Caenorhabditis elegans: one gene and its partners. The protein of the gene in region 2 interacts with the protein of the main gene of each other region in a pairwise test. Each region holds a gene or a part of one and is shown on either strand. Other genes may lie near its edges.

Region 1 (4,711 bases), about 12 Mb from region 2:
TCAAAATGAAAAGTTTTCATGAGAAACGTTTTAAAAATGGTGATTAAATTTTTTTAAAATCAGTTTTTCAGTTCAAATCTAAACAAAATGTAACTACAACATTCGTTATTAAAAATATATGCTCAAATATTGTTTTGTGCAATATGACCAGATTTTCAAAAAGCCGAGTAAGCAGTGGGTTGAAAAACGTATGCGTTAATTTTCAGCTCTATGTTGCTGGTTTAAAAAAAATAAATTCAATAGAAAATGAGTTGCAAACTATTTCACCACCAAAGCTTCTTCATGAAAACTCATCATTCTTGAGTTATAGGCGTTTCAAGTGAAAAGGCCAAAAATGAACCTGCGACGTGTTGGCCGCTGTATCTTTTGTCCTTCAATATTTTTGGATCATGAAACATTTTCAGCATGTAGAAGACATTTTAGGCACCAGTTTGTTATTTGAAATTTTCTTTTCAAAGTTCCTAGTTTGTGAGTTATAAAACGCATATTTTATTTCGGTCACCACTGTAACTAGGCGATTGCATCTCAAATTGGCAAATGTGGTTGTAAAAAGAGGCTTCTGGATCAGGGCTGGGACTTTTTCGAAATCTCATTTTCGAAACCGAAAACGAAAATGTTCGTTTTAAAACACGAAAACAAAAACGAACACGAAAATAGCACTGTTTCAAATCTACAACTGGACTTACAGTTTTTAGGCCATATGTTGCCTCGAAAGCTTTTTTGGTGGCAAGTACTCATTTACCTCTCTCTCATTGACGTACTTTGCTCATTAAAGGTGGAGTAGTGCCAGTGGGTAAATTGTTAAAACCCACTCCTTTAGTCCCATAATGACCAAATATCATGATAAAACTTTTCAAAAATTTTTTGAACAATTTTTATTTACTGTCAAAAAGTGGCAATTACTCAGTTTTTGCCACTCATAATTTTGGAACAGGGGTGTGCAGCAAATTTGCCGAATTTGCCGAATTTGCCGTTTGCCGAGCTCGGCAAATTTGCCGAATTTGCCGAATTTGCCGTTTGCCGAGCTCGGCAAATTTGCCGAATTTGCCGTTTGCCGAGCTCGGCAAATTTGCCAAATTTGCCGAATTTGCCGTTTGCCGAGCTCGGCCAATTTGCCGAATTTGCCGTTTGCCGAGCTCGGCAAATTTGCCGAATTTGCCGTTTGCCGAGCTCGGCAAATTTGCCGAATTTGCCGAATTTGCCGAGCTCGGCAAATTTTGAGATTTGCCGCACACCCCTGTTTTGGAAGTCGACCAAAAAAATTTCTTTTTCGACATTTTTTATGTTTTAATTTTGTTTAAATTCGTAGGGGTCGAAATATGCGACATTTCTTTAAATTTTCTCAAAAGCTCGTATTTTTCAAAATTTTTATTCGAAAACTTTTCACAAACTACCGTATATTCTCTATTAGTGCTTATAGGCCATAGAACTTGAAGCCCTTTTCGAACATAAGGATTCTACTGTAACTCTATTTTTCATCTGAAATTGTGTTTTGAACTTTTGAATTGAAGAAACAACAAGCTTTAATTTTTCAAAAATCATCAAAAATTTATTAGATACTGTGGAAATATGTTTTACTTGTTGCTTGAATGAATTTTTAGCCAAATTCGGTGCATTCAATAAGATAGCCCAACATTGGAGCTCAAAACAAAGAAACGTCCTGTCTTAAAATGAATGAATCTATTGTTACGCAAAAGAGTATTTTAATTGTTATCCAAAACTGAAAACTGTTGCCTTTTTTGTTTTTAAAGTTAATCTTCAGTACTGAGTCTTAGAAGAAAATAATTGATTTTTCAATACTATCCACACCGGAGAGCAAAATTTCGGCGAAAGTTCGAAAGAAAGTGGAAAAAATACCAGAATTAAATAAAGTCGTTTTATTTTCGTTTTTCGAACATTTTCGTCAAAACCCCGAAAATAACGAAAAAACGAAAACGCGAAAACGAAAAAGTCCCAGCCCTGTTCTGGATATAACACTTCGGAAGGTCAAAATAGTTCGAAAATACTTTCTAATTAAAGATAATGTTTTTGGAAAACGGTCAAATATTCTATATTCTAATTATGTTTCTACTCAAAAATGTGAGACACTTTCAAAATATTATTTTGGCATTTTGCCAAAACTTTGATATATATATTGAAGATCGTTATTAAAATATACTTTTTAAAAGTTTTTTAGCCAGGATTTTTTAAAAACTTTTTCAGGAATTGGTTGTTATAGTAAAAATAAAAACTATCTACTATGGTAAAAAAGTATTTACCAATTTTCGGTATAAAAAAGTCTGCCTATATGGAAGTTTTCAGTTGAAAATTGGTAAAATTATTTAATTTTTCGTGTAAAAATGCTTGGAATTTCAAATTTCCTATAAATGAAGTTCCGAACTGTCCAGGTGAAATGTATGAAATAATCATATTTTCCAACTTTTTTTTTTGTGTAAAAATGCTTGGTAAATAAATTTCAAATTTCATATGCGAAAATGTCTGAAGTTTCAATATTTTCGATTATTTTTTGTCATTTTAAACTCCAAATTTGGAATTAATTTAACCTACCGTAAATCGCATAAAACTGCCGAGCTTGCTGACTTCTGGCTTCAAAACTTCCACAACCATCTCATTGATTTCCGTTCGATTCGGCTGATCATTCGACTTTGCCATTGGAACTGCTCTCGAACAACATCTCCAAGTGTACATATTTGCAGCATGTTGCAATCCTTCAGAAAGCATGTCATTCTGTAATAATTTTCTGTTGACTAATTTCCTGTCCACACTTTATCGATTAACTCACAAATTGTGCATGCCTGGTGGCTTCCTCACTGTACTTGGCAATTCCCGTCACAAATGCACTACGATCTTCGAAGTTTGTGTCGAAGTTTGATCTGAAAATAATTTTTGAATTTGTTTTCTTCTTTCAGTTTCGCTACAAACCTATAGAGCAAGGGAAGAGCTCTCGCCTCAATATCGGGTAAATCATCGGGTATGGCGAGGGTGTCGAGAAGCTGCAAAACATCTGGTATGTTTGCTTTTTTTTATTTTAAAAACTCACATTCACATTGCTTATGGCATCGTCGACAGTTACGTTTGCGTTCATTTTTCAGCTGCAAAATATCATTAAAACGATTGCTCACGGGGGGAGGGGGCACTGTTTGAATGAATCAAAGGTGTGAGTGTGTAGAGGTGGGAGAGAGGGTGACTGTGTCCGCAAACACCGACGCTCACTCTGCGGACCTAGTTTCGAGGAGTGCCCGCGATGTCACTAAAACAAGGAAAGAAAAAATCATGCTAGTTATGTGTCTAGAAGTAAAAGTAAAGCTAAACTCAAACTAATGATTGGGAATTTAGCTGAAATTCCGAATAATTTTAAGATTTATTTATGCTTTTATACTTTTATACACGTATTTATTTTACTACTACGACTTTAAATGAGGGCGCATTTATGCTGAATGGGCTCACCAAAAATCGATTTTGAAATCTATTTTAACAGAGGTCTCGTTTCAAAGTCCAAGACTACTTTAAAAAAAGAACAGAATTTGTAGATATTTTGCTCAAAAGACTAAAACTGAATTAAAACCACCGAATTTCATAATGAGGCTTCTCAAAAATTTCTAAGCTCTAGAACATTTTTGGAAGTTTTTGAGAAGTCACATTAATTATGTTTTGGACCATTTTTTCAATCTATTTAAGTGAAACACCCACAAACTCTATTCCGTTTAACGTCGTGTGAATATGCTACTACTATACCATTGGTCTAGACAAAAACGTTATTTTATGATCGTAGAGGGGCAAAATGGGGAAAATACAAAATGCCAATAAAGGTTGAAAAAGGTTGAATTCTTGCCTTTCACAGCCTTTCAAGCGAGAATGGCACAAATACGACTTTACGCGGCCAGATCAATAAGTGTAGATCAAAATTTTTTACGATCGACGTCGCAACAAAATCCAAGACTACTTTAACGTCTTTCCTAGTGAATTTTTACTAGGGATTCTTTTCCCCTATCTAATAAGTTGGTAAATCCAATCTGGTCATTATCAATTTTGTTTTCGTGCACGTCTTACCAATGCTCTGTCACTTCAAAAATTATCCATTATTATTTTCTTTTTCCAATAGATTTAGTGTTCAAACGCAAACATTGTTTCCATCTAATACTATTTCCATTTTGTTGTATAATAGCCCTAGCATACCTACTTACCTACCTGCCTACTTATCGTCTGTTTTCCGGCTCCAGATCCTTGTTGTCCGCTTGACTGAGTGACTGTGAAATGAAAAAAAATTTTTACGTGTTTTTCTAAATGTGGATTTTCTAACGTAAATTCGAGAAAACATGTTCCTTAGCGTGAAACGTGACATTTTTAAAACGTTTTAGCTTTGTTTTTTTTAGTTTTTTAAAATTAATTTTCTCAAAATTATGAAGTTGACAGAATTTGCAACACAGCCTACCAACTGGACGTTATTCACTGAACTGTTTTTACAAATAATGACTTAAAATATGGAACGTGTTCTAGGTAATATCTGCCAGTTGAAAACTAGCTGTTTTCTGAAACTATGCAGATTTGTTAAATAGACATCTGGCTACAATTTGAACTGCTCATAGTAAGTGTTAGGGTAAAAATTAGACTAAAAATATTTAACACGGTCCCCAGTAAAATAATCACTAGGAAAATACGTTAAAGTGGTCTTAAATTTTGTTACGACGTCGATCGTATAAAATTAACTTTT
Region 2 (6,536 bases):
AAATTCTCCCGATCTTCGCCACGAAGAGTTAATCGGAAACCTTGAGCCTGGTTGTTTACAATCACGAACAAATTTGTGTTCTTCATTCTGAAAACCGGGCAATTTGACTTTAATTTCTCAAACAACAAAGACTCACTTCAAACTCGGATACCTAGAAACTTCCATGTTACAATAAACGGTCTCGATCGGCTCGACTCCATGAATAACCGTCAGCTTCCTGCTATTCACCTCCATAACAACGCGAATATCTTTGCCCTGCAAATTTAACTTTTCGATACAGAATTCATCTATTTTTAAAACCTCTTGTCGATTACCGCTTCCTCTCAATTGCTTATACTTTATGATCGGCCACTGGAGTGTCTGCAATTCAGGAAACATACTGAAGAGACTGCAAAAACATAAATAATTTTTTTTTACTAAAAATGTCTAAAAATTTCGACCTCATTGGACCTCAAAATGTGAAAAAATTCAAAATTGCATGCCGGTCGTGGCGAGACCCATCCATCACTTTTACGCGCGAATTCAAATTCAAATTACCAAGCATATCTAATTTAGCTAATTCTCGTTTTTTTAACTTAAAATTTAATCGCATTTATGTAATAGATAAAATAAAAATTTTTGATAAATTGATAAAAAGTTTATTATGACGACAAACTGCAATAAATTAAAGCCAAATGGAAGGCAAAATGAGTACTTGGGAGCAATGATTCACACGAAAATGCAGGGAATAATAGTCAAAAAGGCGGTATTCGGAAGCGGGAACCCGTATAGTAATGGTTCGTTGAAGAAAGAAAAATAAAATAAATAAAATACAGGCACAGGAAGTATGTGAGAAGGGATCGTAGCTGTACATATTGGGATCGCAGATAAAATTATTGAGCATCAGCCTCGTAGCATTGTTGGTAGGCTGTACGGACGAGATTATATGGGAAACAGGTTTCAAGAACATCCATCGACAGCCAACGGTTTTTCCGAACCATCTGTTCAAGGATAATGTAGAGAGTTGTGTGGGAACGAAGAACGTCGTCGGATATTTGTCGACTGTTATCACGTTCATGAATAGTTCGTAGAATACCCGAGGACGCGAGCTGAAAATTTTTCTAGGTGAGAATATGTGTTAATAATGATAGAGCTAACCGCCAAGAACTCCTTCATCCTCGACTGGATATCATTTTGCTCGTGGAGATGGAAAAGAGCTGATCCGATAGTGTTAATCGCCATTGGAACACAGTGACTATTGTTCAAGCTGGCTGAAATTGTTTATTTTTAATTTTTGCAAAAAGCTGTAAAAGTATGTACCTTGAATGCTAGGCTTGTAAGACGAAAGATCCGACATTCCAATTCGTGGAATACAGATAGCGACGGCAACCATCAATAGACAACTATTAACATAGTGTTCTTGAGGGTGAATATTCGGATTTTGAGCACGAACCGCATTCACCAACGACATATCAACTGGTCCTGTGACTCCCATCGCAGCTGACATTTCTCCAATTTTAACTTTATCAACATCGTCCAAATTGTGATAAAGCATATCAAATGATGCTTGAAGAAATGGCAATTTAGATTCGACGATATGACGAAGAGCATCGTGGAGAGCATCACGAAACAGACAAATCTGTCCGATAATAATAGTTCTTTGCAGAATTGCATCAGCTGCGCATGTTGCGTTCGGAGTTTTCTTGTCCTTTGGTTCGACGCTCAAAAGATTTAAAACATCCTTCATCTTTTCAGCATTATCGAAATTAGATCTAGCAATCTGTAGAGCATCTTTGTATGTTGCAACAATCTTGCTCATCTCCATAATTTGACTGGCCACGTGCCAAATCAGCCGTTCAGTCATCAACTTTACTCCATAAGGTCCGATAATTTGAACCAATGCTCTCAATTCTTGAGGATCTGAATAATGATCGGGCATGAACGAGAGTTGTTCCTGTCCTGATGATAACATTGTTCGTAGATGCTCACTCCAAACCATATGACCAGATGAAGCACGACGGAGCAAAACTTCGAGATACCATTTCGTGTAGAGTGCTGCGATTGTGTCTTTATTCTTGGAATCAACGAGTTGAGTTTGTTGTAGAAGAGTTGTTTGCATTGTATTACTGATATCCACAGAAACTGAAATTCCATTTATGAGAATATTTATAGATTATTTTAAAAACCACTTACTTGCTGTATCAAGATTTTGAAGAACCGTCATGTAGGCTTGTAGCGCAAGGAGCATTTCACTTGGTCTTTTTGGATTACTTGCATGTGGTTGACCTTCCCAGAACATTCCATGAAGCAATTCTACAAATTTAGTTTCAAGGGACTGCGCTAGGTACGTCCTCGGTGCAAATGTGTGATCAGCAACGTAAATTTGACGATGAGCTCCGAGAGCTGCAGAGATTTCAACTGAAAAGTGGGAAATTTGTGATATAAAATCTAATTTAAAAAACGTTTTAAAACTTACGAAGAGTTGTTTGCAACTTATCAGGCATTGTTAATGCTTGACGATCAACTCGATAACTTTCTTCTCCAGCAATGAAATAATCTCGAGCGGCTGCTGCGGCCGCCGCTGCAGCTTTTCCAGATCCTTTCTGTTGAACAACTTGAGCAACAACTCTTACAGCCACGGCGCTCGGTGTCATTTGATAAGCTAATCCGAATTCATGTTCAGCCACTTTTTCCAGGATATATGACAATTGTTTGCACGTCTCTTCAATTACAGAATTGCATTGAGCCAAGGCTTTTTCAGTGATAAATGCTTTTTCTTCAGGACACATGTCATGGAGGGCGCTTGTGAAATGCGCGGCAAGACGTGCAAAACTGAGCACATATCGAGCTTGAGCAGGTAGCTGGAGACAGTTGAGCCAATGTTTTTCAGCGAGTTTTGGATAGAAGCAGTATAATGATAAATCACTTGTTTCCCTTAGCATCTCGTCTTGCAAATCGATCATTTTCAGATGAAAAACTGAAGTATTCATGTATATTGCGAGTTTTTTATGTCTTGAAAGTTGGAAATGGCTCCGAGCAGCAGATGTCCAAGCTTGAAATCTAAACCAGTCTAGTCGAAGAGCACGAAGATCCGTATCAGAGTTGATATTTCCTATTTCGTTGGCAAAATCGGTCAAAAGAACCGCTTCTTCCTGGGTGAGGCCATTTGCTTGGTTAATCTCTTCAGAAACAACAATTGAATCATAGCTAGACACGTACTGAAAATAAAAAAGATTTAAAATAGATAAATTTAAAGTTTTAACAAAACCTGTAGATAGTATCTTTGAATCACTGCATAATATTTCGTAACGAGATCTCTTAATTCCAGCATATAAAATAGCAGTTCTGGAAGTTGCCTGTCAACAAGCTCCTCGACCATTCTGCTGCCTTTTTTGCTGATAGCAGGAACTTCAACTTGATGCCGTAGAAGCCATATGACCTCATCTCTTCCTGCTCCAAGAGCCATCCAGACATAGAGAATTTTCGGGCCAAGTAGTCCGGGCTGATCTCGTAGTAAAAGTGACAGCTCTCGAAGAGAACTTCTAAGGAAGCGGCGACGGTCTGCGTGGACGGCAACTCTGAAATACAAATTATTAGAAAACGCTTTGTTTATCATATTTTTTAACTTACGCAGTAACAGATGCATGATTGAACGCATCTTTAACATCTTGTAACCGTTTGCTTTTTTCTTTGGAAGATTCTAAAAACGCTTGAATCTCTTGATGAACAATAAATGTTTCGTCTCGGAAAACGCGAAGACACAGATTCATTTGAAGTGCCAGCTGCCACATGTGCCTAATGTTGTCATCGTTAAGAAGAGTTGAATGGCATACTGTTCCGCAGACTGAAAATATTACAATTTTAATAAACATTTTAATACTAATTTGTATATTAACTTACACACAATCCATCGATCAATGACGTCGAGTGATAGATATTCGCATGCAATCTGAAACGATTTACATAAATAATTTTCCATTAAATAAAAACTTGCTCACAGTTTCTGTTTGAGCAGCATATAAAATTTGTGCTGGAGCAGCGGTCAACGAGAAAACATTTGATGTTCTCCATGAATCTGCTGTCTTGTTTCTGCGCTGATATGTGTGTGTAACAGAAGAAAGAGCTGAATAAATTAGCCTGTTCAGTGGTCCGAGATCTTCATGAAGCTTTTTTAACGGATTTTCATAATCAAGAATCATTTGTCCTAATCTTGGAAATGATGCTTCACTTTGTCCGTGTTGTAGATCATATGCCGCATTAAAAAGTCCAAGAACAGCTTTCCGGTCTTCAATTCTTGATAAAAGAATCATCATTGTGACGAGATGTACAACAAGATTCAAATAACTCGTTGTCAGGTCGTAATTGAGCGTCTAAAAAATAAAATTTTAGCTTAAACATTATACGAACGATATAAATATTTAAAATCAATAATATACTCACCACATCCAGCTGACATTGACATGATTCCATAGTTGTCAAAACTTGCATAATGTGATCTTTTAAATCAAGAATATCAGCAAATGTGTAGTAATATAGCGATAAAGATTTTGTAATTTCCGTGGACTTTTCTTGTACATATTCGAACGTCGACTGAAATTAATTTCGGCATGAGAAATCAACAATTTGAACTACTCACTGAATTCGATCTGCAATCAACAACAGGAAACTTTCTAACTATATGTTTGATTGCACCTTCCATCTTCTTGTCGCTAAGAAATTGTGGTTTCACTTTTGAATCTGAAATCTTCAGCATTTTATAACAACAGAAATTTTCAAAGACTACTCACCGCCGCTTGATTTCTTAATATTGTATATCCGTGTCATCATTCCAGCAGCACGATCATTCAGTATCACAAGTTTTTCAGCAATTTTCACCTGTCTGGCATCTTTGTAAGCCATTTTGCTGAAAATTGGAGAGAAAATTGAAGGGGAAATGAGTCACAAATTGGATTACAGTTTAAAGGCGCATTCAATTAAACAAGAGGTGTCTCTCACCACGGCTGTGCAAGCATGCTCTATTGCGCTCTTTTGTTGGCGGCAGTTTGAACGAGAGAGGGAGACCGTTATAAAAAATGTAGACCACGAAAAATCTAGACCACGAAAATATTTAAAAAAGCTATTTTCAGACAGATTTTCAGGTTTTTACAAAAGAAGTTTATTTAATGGGGAATAAACTTCTTGTTTTATTGCAATTTGTCACCGCAGAATATGATCTAGATCACCGTGAATGGCACTGACGAGGTTCAAGAACTGGAAAAACGAACAAAAAAAAATATTTGGAATGTTTGGAAAAAAAAAACATAAAATCAAACTGAAGAACTATTCACCAAATATGTTGCTTTTATGAACTTTCAAGCTTTTTGTGAACTTTTGTGTCGACTTTTCTTAAAAATCATATTTTTCCAAATTATTTCCCCACTTTATGTATAGTGATTGTTTAGTGAGAAGAACAAAAATTCCTTGTAAATCCCTAAATACAGACAGACAGTTTCACATCCAATTACGAAATATTTCATTTGATATTTCCAAATATTTCCAATTTATATCTCTTCGTCCCTCCGTGGCAGCTTAGTTCATCAAACCTTTCCACCGTCGATTCGAATCGGCTTTCTTATCAGGTCAAATGCTATAGATAGCTGGTCTCTCTCCCTCTCTCTCTCTCTATCTCTCTCTCTCTGATAGTCCGAAGAAATTCTCACATCGTTTACAATAGCGAACAACACCGAAATGGCTGTAGATGGAGGAGAAGAAGAAGAAGCATGAGACCAGCAAGGATCGGGAAACTGTGAAAGAGAGAAACGGGTTTGACGAAAGGCCGGACGGATGGTTAGCCTCTCTTTCTCTCCCTCTTTCCCGGGAGGCCTTCCTTTCATTCAAATGTTTCCATCGCTTTTCGTTGAATACTTCCACTCACTTTTGTTACTTCTACACATTTTTCTTCATTTCATATCTTTTTATGAAACTTTTTGGATTCAAAGTTTTCACTTGTTCGTTTCATTTAACTTGCAAAAAAAACAACTATCTTCATCTTAAATCTGTCAGAAAAGGTGCGAAGTCATCGCATTCATACAGCTTCTCCATCTTCTACAGCTCGCCTCATTCAATCTATTCACTGTGTCAAACGTGTTTCTAGTTTCCATATGTCTATACAACTTTTATCTCTTCCGTTCTCTGTAATACAATTATTTTCTGTTCTTTTGAATCGTTTTACACACATTGCGTAATACCGATCGAACAGTTTCTATCGGGTCCTGGCACGCGCGGAATTTTTCAACTACCGTACCTCTTTGATTGTTTCGTTAGTTGAAATGTTTCGATCGTGACAAGACTCAAGTTGGTGATTTTAAATTAAAATTCAAAGTTTTTGATTTAAGTATTTAATAGCATAAACTTTGACAATGCTGCACTGATTTTCCAAATTAGGCTCCGCCCATATCTTGGCTCTTTTGAAATTTTACATTGCATTTTCTCGTACTTTACTTCTACATAGTCTACGAACACAGAATAGATACCTAAAATAAACTCAAAAATTCCATACTTTTTGAAACTGTGCATGG
Region 3 (4,838 bases), on a different chromosome or scaffold from region 2:
TGTCACCTAATTTCCATTGGCTGTGTTTCATTTGCCCAACTTTTGACGTGAAGAAACAATGTTTGCATTGAATTTTGAGAAAACGCCTGGCTCGCCGTAGATAGTAGTGTTACTGATCTGAAAATTTGAATTACTTTTTTAAAAAATTCTAGAGAATTCCAGACGTTTCTGTAGCGTTGGCGAGCCAATCGATTTTCTGTTTGGCGATTCGGGAGTTGACTTCAATCAAATGTTGTGGTAGATCATGGAAGTTTTGATCACATTTTTCGGATACAGTATAGGAGACTGAGAGCACACTTGTTCGATTCTGATCCACTGGGAACCATGAAAATGGTACGGGGATTCGGATAACGCAGCTCGATTTTTGATCTTCGTGACGGTTTAGGTAGCATTTTCCGAGCTCTGGAAAAATTATAGTAGGGATTATTTGTTATGCTTACCTGCCTACCTGCCTGCCTATTGAGAAGGCTGCGTAGGTCCCCTTGGGGGATTTTAGAAAATTTGGGACAAAATTCAATTTTTAGTACTTTTCTTTCAAATTTTGGCGAGGAATTCGAATTTTTCTGATTTTTTCAAATTTTTTGCCACAGTTCGAAATTCTTTCAAAAATTTTTAAAAACTTGGGACGAAATTTGAAATTTTCAGATTTTTTCAACGTTTGGCGCGAAATTAAAATTTTTTTATATTTTTTCTAATTTTTGGCGCGAAGTTTGAATTTTTCAGTTTTTTTCCAAATTTTGGGGCGAAATTCGAATTTAAATGTTTTTTTCTAAATGTTGGCGTCAAATTTATTTTTTTTTGGCGCGAAGTTAAAATTCTAATTTGGCGCGCAATTTAAATTTAAATTTCTCGAAAATTAATGCACCATACTTGTATTACGCGCAATTTTTTTTTTGATCTTTGAAACACCGACAAGACGCAAAAAAACTAATTATTTCCAATTTTCCCATAACTAGTTGCGTTTTTAGTCCGACTGAACTTGACATGAGCTCACCGATTGCAGAAGTTGATGAAGTTAGTTGAGCATGCACACAAATTGCTCCGACATGACGAGAAAGTGACTCGTCTACAACTGCCAGTAAATCAACATAGGGTCTCGTCTGGAAAATTGATATTTTGCACTTTGAAGCTGATGTCTCTGACAAATTTCTGGAAAAACCTGGAAAATTTTAAAACAATTTCGGAAAAGTTTTTGGAAATTCTATAACGTTCAAAAAATAATTCAAGAAATTTCAGTACAATTCGAAATTTTTTTTTTGGAAAACTTTATTGAATTTTTGAAGATTTCTAGAAATGCCTAGAACTTTCTGAAAAACTCCCAGAAAATATTTTCCCTTACCACGACAACTTTCTCCGTAATAATCCTGACTCTGACCGCACAATGCAACGGGATTTCTTCAAAAACCCGTCTTGAAGATGACAAATCTGCAGAGTAAACGGTCGCCATGAGATTTCGACTATTCGGACAACCATCCTGAAAGTTAGAGGTTTAATGAAGGCCTACCTGCCTGCTTACAGGCCTGCCTTCTGAGCAAACTCTTACCTGAACAAATACAGATGTAAAATTTGTGTTTTGATGACTGTGAAATAATACGAATGCTTCATCGGGCGGGGAGAATGTGATGTGGTCCGAGAGAGCAGTAGTGACTGTAATTTTTCGAAGCTTTATATCTCTGTGAGTTTTGAAGATATCAAAAAACTTTCAACTACAAATCTGTAGAAAAAAATATACTACACTTTTTGTTAGTTGACAATCTTTTGATAAAAATAAAGACAACCGAGATATGAGCTGTCAAAGTTAAATCAGTCTGATGCACCATGTCTGGGAATGAGGACAACTTTGGCTGCTCGTAAATCTGTGAGTTTTGATGATATCAAATTATTTTTTAATGCAAAACTGTAGAAAAAGCAATAAAAATTATTTTTCCAGTGGAAATTTTTTAAATAAAACCAAAAGGCAACCGAGATATGAGCCGTCAAAGATGAGCAAGACATGGCGCATCGGAAAAAAGTGTCAAATGCACTTTTCGGTTTCGTATTTCTTTTTCTCTTTTTTTTCAGGATTTTATCATTATTCGCGTGGTGTCAGGCTATCCCATTGCGGTTTGATCTACAAAAAATGCGGGTATTTTTTGCCCAAAAATATGTGACGTCAGCACGTTCTTAACCATGCGAAATCAGTGGAGAACTCTACGTCTCTTCTCCCGCATTTTTTGTAGATCAAGCAGAAATGAGACACTCTGATACCACGTGATTATGTCTGAAACATGGGCCTAGTTTTATATTTTCATGACCGCGTATTGAAAAAATTTAGTTTAAAATTTTTTTTCTGAAAAATCAGGTTTTTCAGAAAAAATTATTATCAAAATTTGCTGAAAAATCTGAAATTTTTGGCTTTTCGACTTTTATTCAAAAAAAATCAAAAATTTATGAATTCTTTGGTCTCACCGCGCAAACAAAATTTCAAAAACTTTTTCAATTTACTGTATATATTCCAATTTTATTCTATTTTTAATTTTTTAAAAACTTGTGTTTTTTTTCCTAAAATGGTAAAATTAAACGCACATTCATATTTTCTAAAAATCTAACTCTTCGTGGCGAGACTCATTGAATATTACTGTACTTTTTTGAATTTACAATTATAATATGAATTTACTTATTTTCAGAGTTAGCCTAATTTTCCTTTTAAAAAAATAATTATTCAGCTAATTTTTTTTTAAATGAAGCCAATTATTTCCAGGGGTGAAAACTCCAAACTAACCAATGCAGGAGATACAAATCCAAAGCTTTTTCAGCATTTTCTCTTCATGGAAATTGATAAAATGATATCATATCTCTTTTATCACATAGTAGTCTGTTGTTCAAATAAAAATAGAAAATAAATATAGGCGGCTCAAAACGAGCAGAGCCTAAGTGACGACTACGACGAAAAAAAGAGCAAATCGGCAAAAAAGACGAGGACGACGACGCCGCGGCGGCCCGCCGGAGCAGAGAGAGAGATAGAATTGCAGAGAGAGACGCAGAGATCAAAACGACGACTACTTCTGCATCCGCTTCGTTTTCTTCTTTTGGCTGGTCACAGCTGCTGTTGCTGCTACTCGACTACATATGCATGAGGGTTTTACTGCAATTGAGCTGAAAAAATGCTAGGTTTTTTTAGGGGCGAGAATAAGGGTCTCGATTTTTTTGGAAAAACCTAATTTTTTTCGATAATTTGAAAAAAAAATCGATTTTCCGAAAAATAGCCATTTTTCTTCTTTGTAGAAGAAAATTGTATATTTTCTTATGCCTGGGAAGACTAAACTCCGAGAATACGTATTGCACAACATATTTGACGCGCAAAATATCTCGTAGCGAAAACTACAGTAATCGTTTAAATGACTACTGTAGCGCTTATGTCGATTTACGAAAATTATTGATTAATTATTGCAATATTAAAAGAAAACTAAGAAAATCGAATATTCGAACAGCAGTTTCAAAAATCGGGCCCGTAAATCGACACCAGCACTACAGTAGTAATTAAACAATTACTGTAGTTTTCGCTACGAGATATTTTGCCTTAAAGTTGAGCTTTGACTATAAAAATCCGCATTTCGTTTAAAAATTGAATGCTGAACTCAAAATTTGAACAAACTCCGCAATTTGCGTATTACGGGAACAATAAATCATGAGATATATCTCTTAGCGAAAACTACAGTAAGAGCTTAAATATCTATTGTTATTTGAGTTCTTACTGTAGTTTTCTCTAAGAGATATCGCGCGCCAAATAAAATGCACCAAGTACGCATTCTCATGATTTATTGTTCCCGTAATATTTCTGGAGCTACAGTACACGGCCCGAGAAGTGGTACCTGTACGCAATTTGTCTACCGTATACCTGGGCGCGTGTATCTCAAAAACGGTTGGTCCAGTTTTTTTGTGATGCATATAAAAAATGTCCGAAATTAAATTCTAAATTTTTTGGACCAAAGCTTTTTTCGTTATCACGCGCCCAAACCTGGTCTACACTCAAATTATCAGTAGAGCGCATTTGCATGGATGTACCACTTGCCGGGCCGTGCAGTAACCCAAAAACCTCAAAATTAAGCTAGAAACTCCAATTCTTCAATATTCAGAACGTTTTTATTGACCACAAAATTTCAATTTTCTCAGATTTTCTGCAAATTGGCGTAAGATTTGGTGCCTAATCGGTGTGTGCGTACTTCTGGAGCTACAGTAACCCGGATTATTTTAAAATTGAGTGAAAAACTAGAAAAAACGCATTTCAATCAAAAATTGAATGCTAAACTCGAAATTTGAGCAAACTCCGCAATTTGTCGTAAGATTCAGTGTCTAATCGGTATTCGCGTATTTTTGGAGCTACAGTAACCCAAAATCCTCGAAATTGAGCTAGGAAAGACTAGGAAAAAAAACCGAATTTGAGTCAAATTTATTGCCTAATACGGAATCTCAGAATATAGTATTCCCGTAATAAACAAAATTTGATTCTAAACATTTTTTGTCCGATTTTTCAAAAAATCGAAAAAAATTTGATTTTTCGAAAAAATATCCTAATTTTTTGCTCATTTTCCTAATTTTTAGAAGAAAAACTCATGTTTTCTTTTTTGTCATAAATCTGAATAAAATTAGATAAAAATTGTTTTTGTTTTCGATTTTTGTAATCTAAAATTTTTTGGGAAAAAATCGAAAATTTTTATAATTGCGATTTAAAAATTGATTCTCGCTGAAAAATTGGTTTTGATGAGAAATATACAATTTATAGAACAGTTTAGTAGGCGATAATTGGAGTGGAAAAAATTACAAAAAAAAGTCGAAAATCAAGAGAAAATCAGTAAAAA

What was found.
Region 1: the proteins of gex-3 (region 2) and gex-2 interact in binary tests that used the Caenorhabditis elegans proteins (3 or more experiments, as listed by UniProt).
Region 3: the proteins of gex-3 (region 2) and tmem-132 interact in a two-hybrid assay, tested with the Caenorhabditis elegans proteins (one study listed by BioGRID).

What each region holds. Positions count from the first base shown.
Region 1 is NC_003282.8:571,150-575,860, reverse strand, and holds the start of gex-2 (Cytoplasmic FMR1-interacting protein homolog), read right to left. Parts: upstream 3,093-4,711; 5' UTR 3,086-3,092; coding exon 3,041-3,085; intron 2,994-3,040; coding exon 2,923-2,993; intron 2,874-2,922; coding exon 2,783-2,873; intron 2,728-2,782; coding exon 2,548-2,727; intron 1-2,547. UniProt on the Caenorhabditis elegans protein: Required for initial steps of body morphogenesis. May play a role in egg laying and yolk protein clatherin-mediated endocytosis by oocytes during oogenesis.
Region 2 is NC_003282.8:12,402,777-12,409,312, reverse strand, and holds gex-3 (Membrane-associated protein gex-3), read right to left. Parts: upstream 4,883-6,536; 5' UTR 4,879-4,882; coding exon 4,767-4,878; intron 4,717-4,766; coding exon 4,616-4,716; intron 4,570-4,615; coding exon 4,420-4,569; intron 4,350-4,419; coding exon 3,978-4,349; intron 3,929-3,977; coding exon 3,880-3,928; intron 3,824-3,879; coding exon 3,610-3,823; intron 3,558-3,609; coding exon 3,248-3,557; intron 3,198-3,247; coding exon 2,456-3,197; intron 2,398-2,455; coding exon 2,173-2,397; intron 2,122-2,172; coding exon 1,300-2,121; intron 1,251-1,299; coding exon 1,138-1,250; intron 1,089-1,137; coding exon 873-1,088; 3' UTR 623-872; downstream 1-622. Other genes in the region: dsb-1 (Double-Strand Break factor), read right to left, coding at 1-87, 137-255, 301-378. UniProt on the Caenorhabditis elegans protein: Rac effector required for tissue morphogenesis, cell migrations and egg laying. May play a role in egg laying and in yolk protein clatherin-mediated endocytosis by oocytes during oogenesis.
Region 3 is NC_003281.10:2,713,480-2,718,317, forward strand, and holds the start of tmem-132 (Transmembrane protein 132 homolog), read right to left. Parts: upstream 3,136-4,838; 5' UTR 2,799-3,135; coding exon 2,762-2,798; intron 1,648-2,761; coding exon 1,544-1,647; intron 1,475-1,543; coding exon 1,340-1,474; intron 1,101-1,339; coding exon 995-1,100; intron 403-994; coding exon 165-402; intron 118-164; coding exon 7-117; intron 1-6.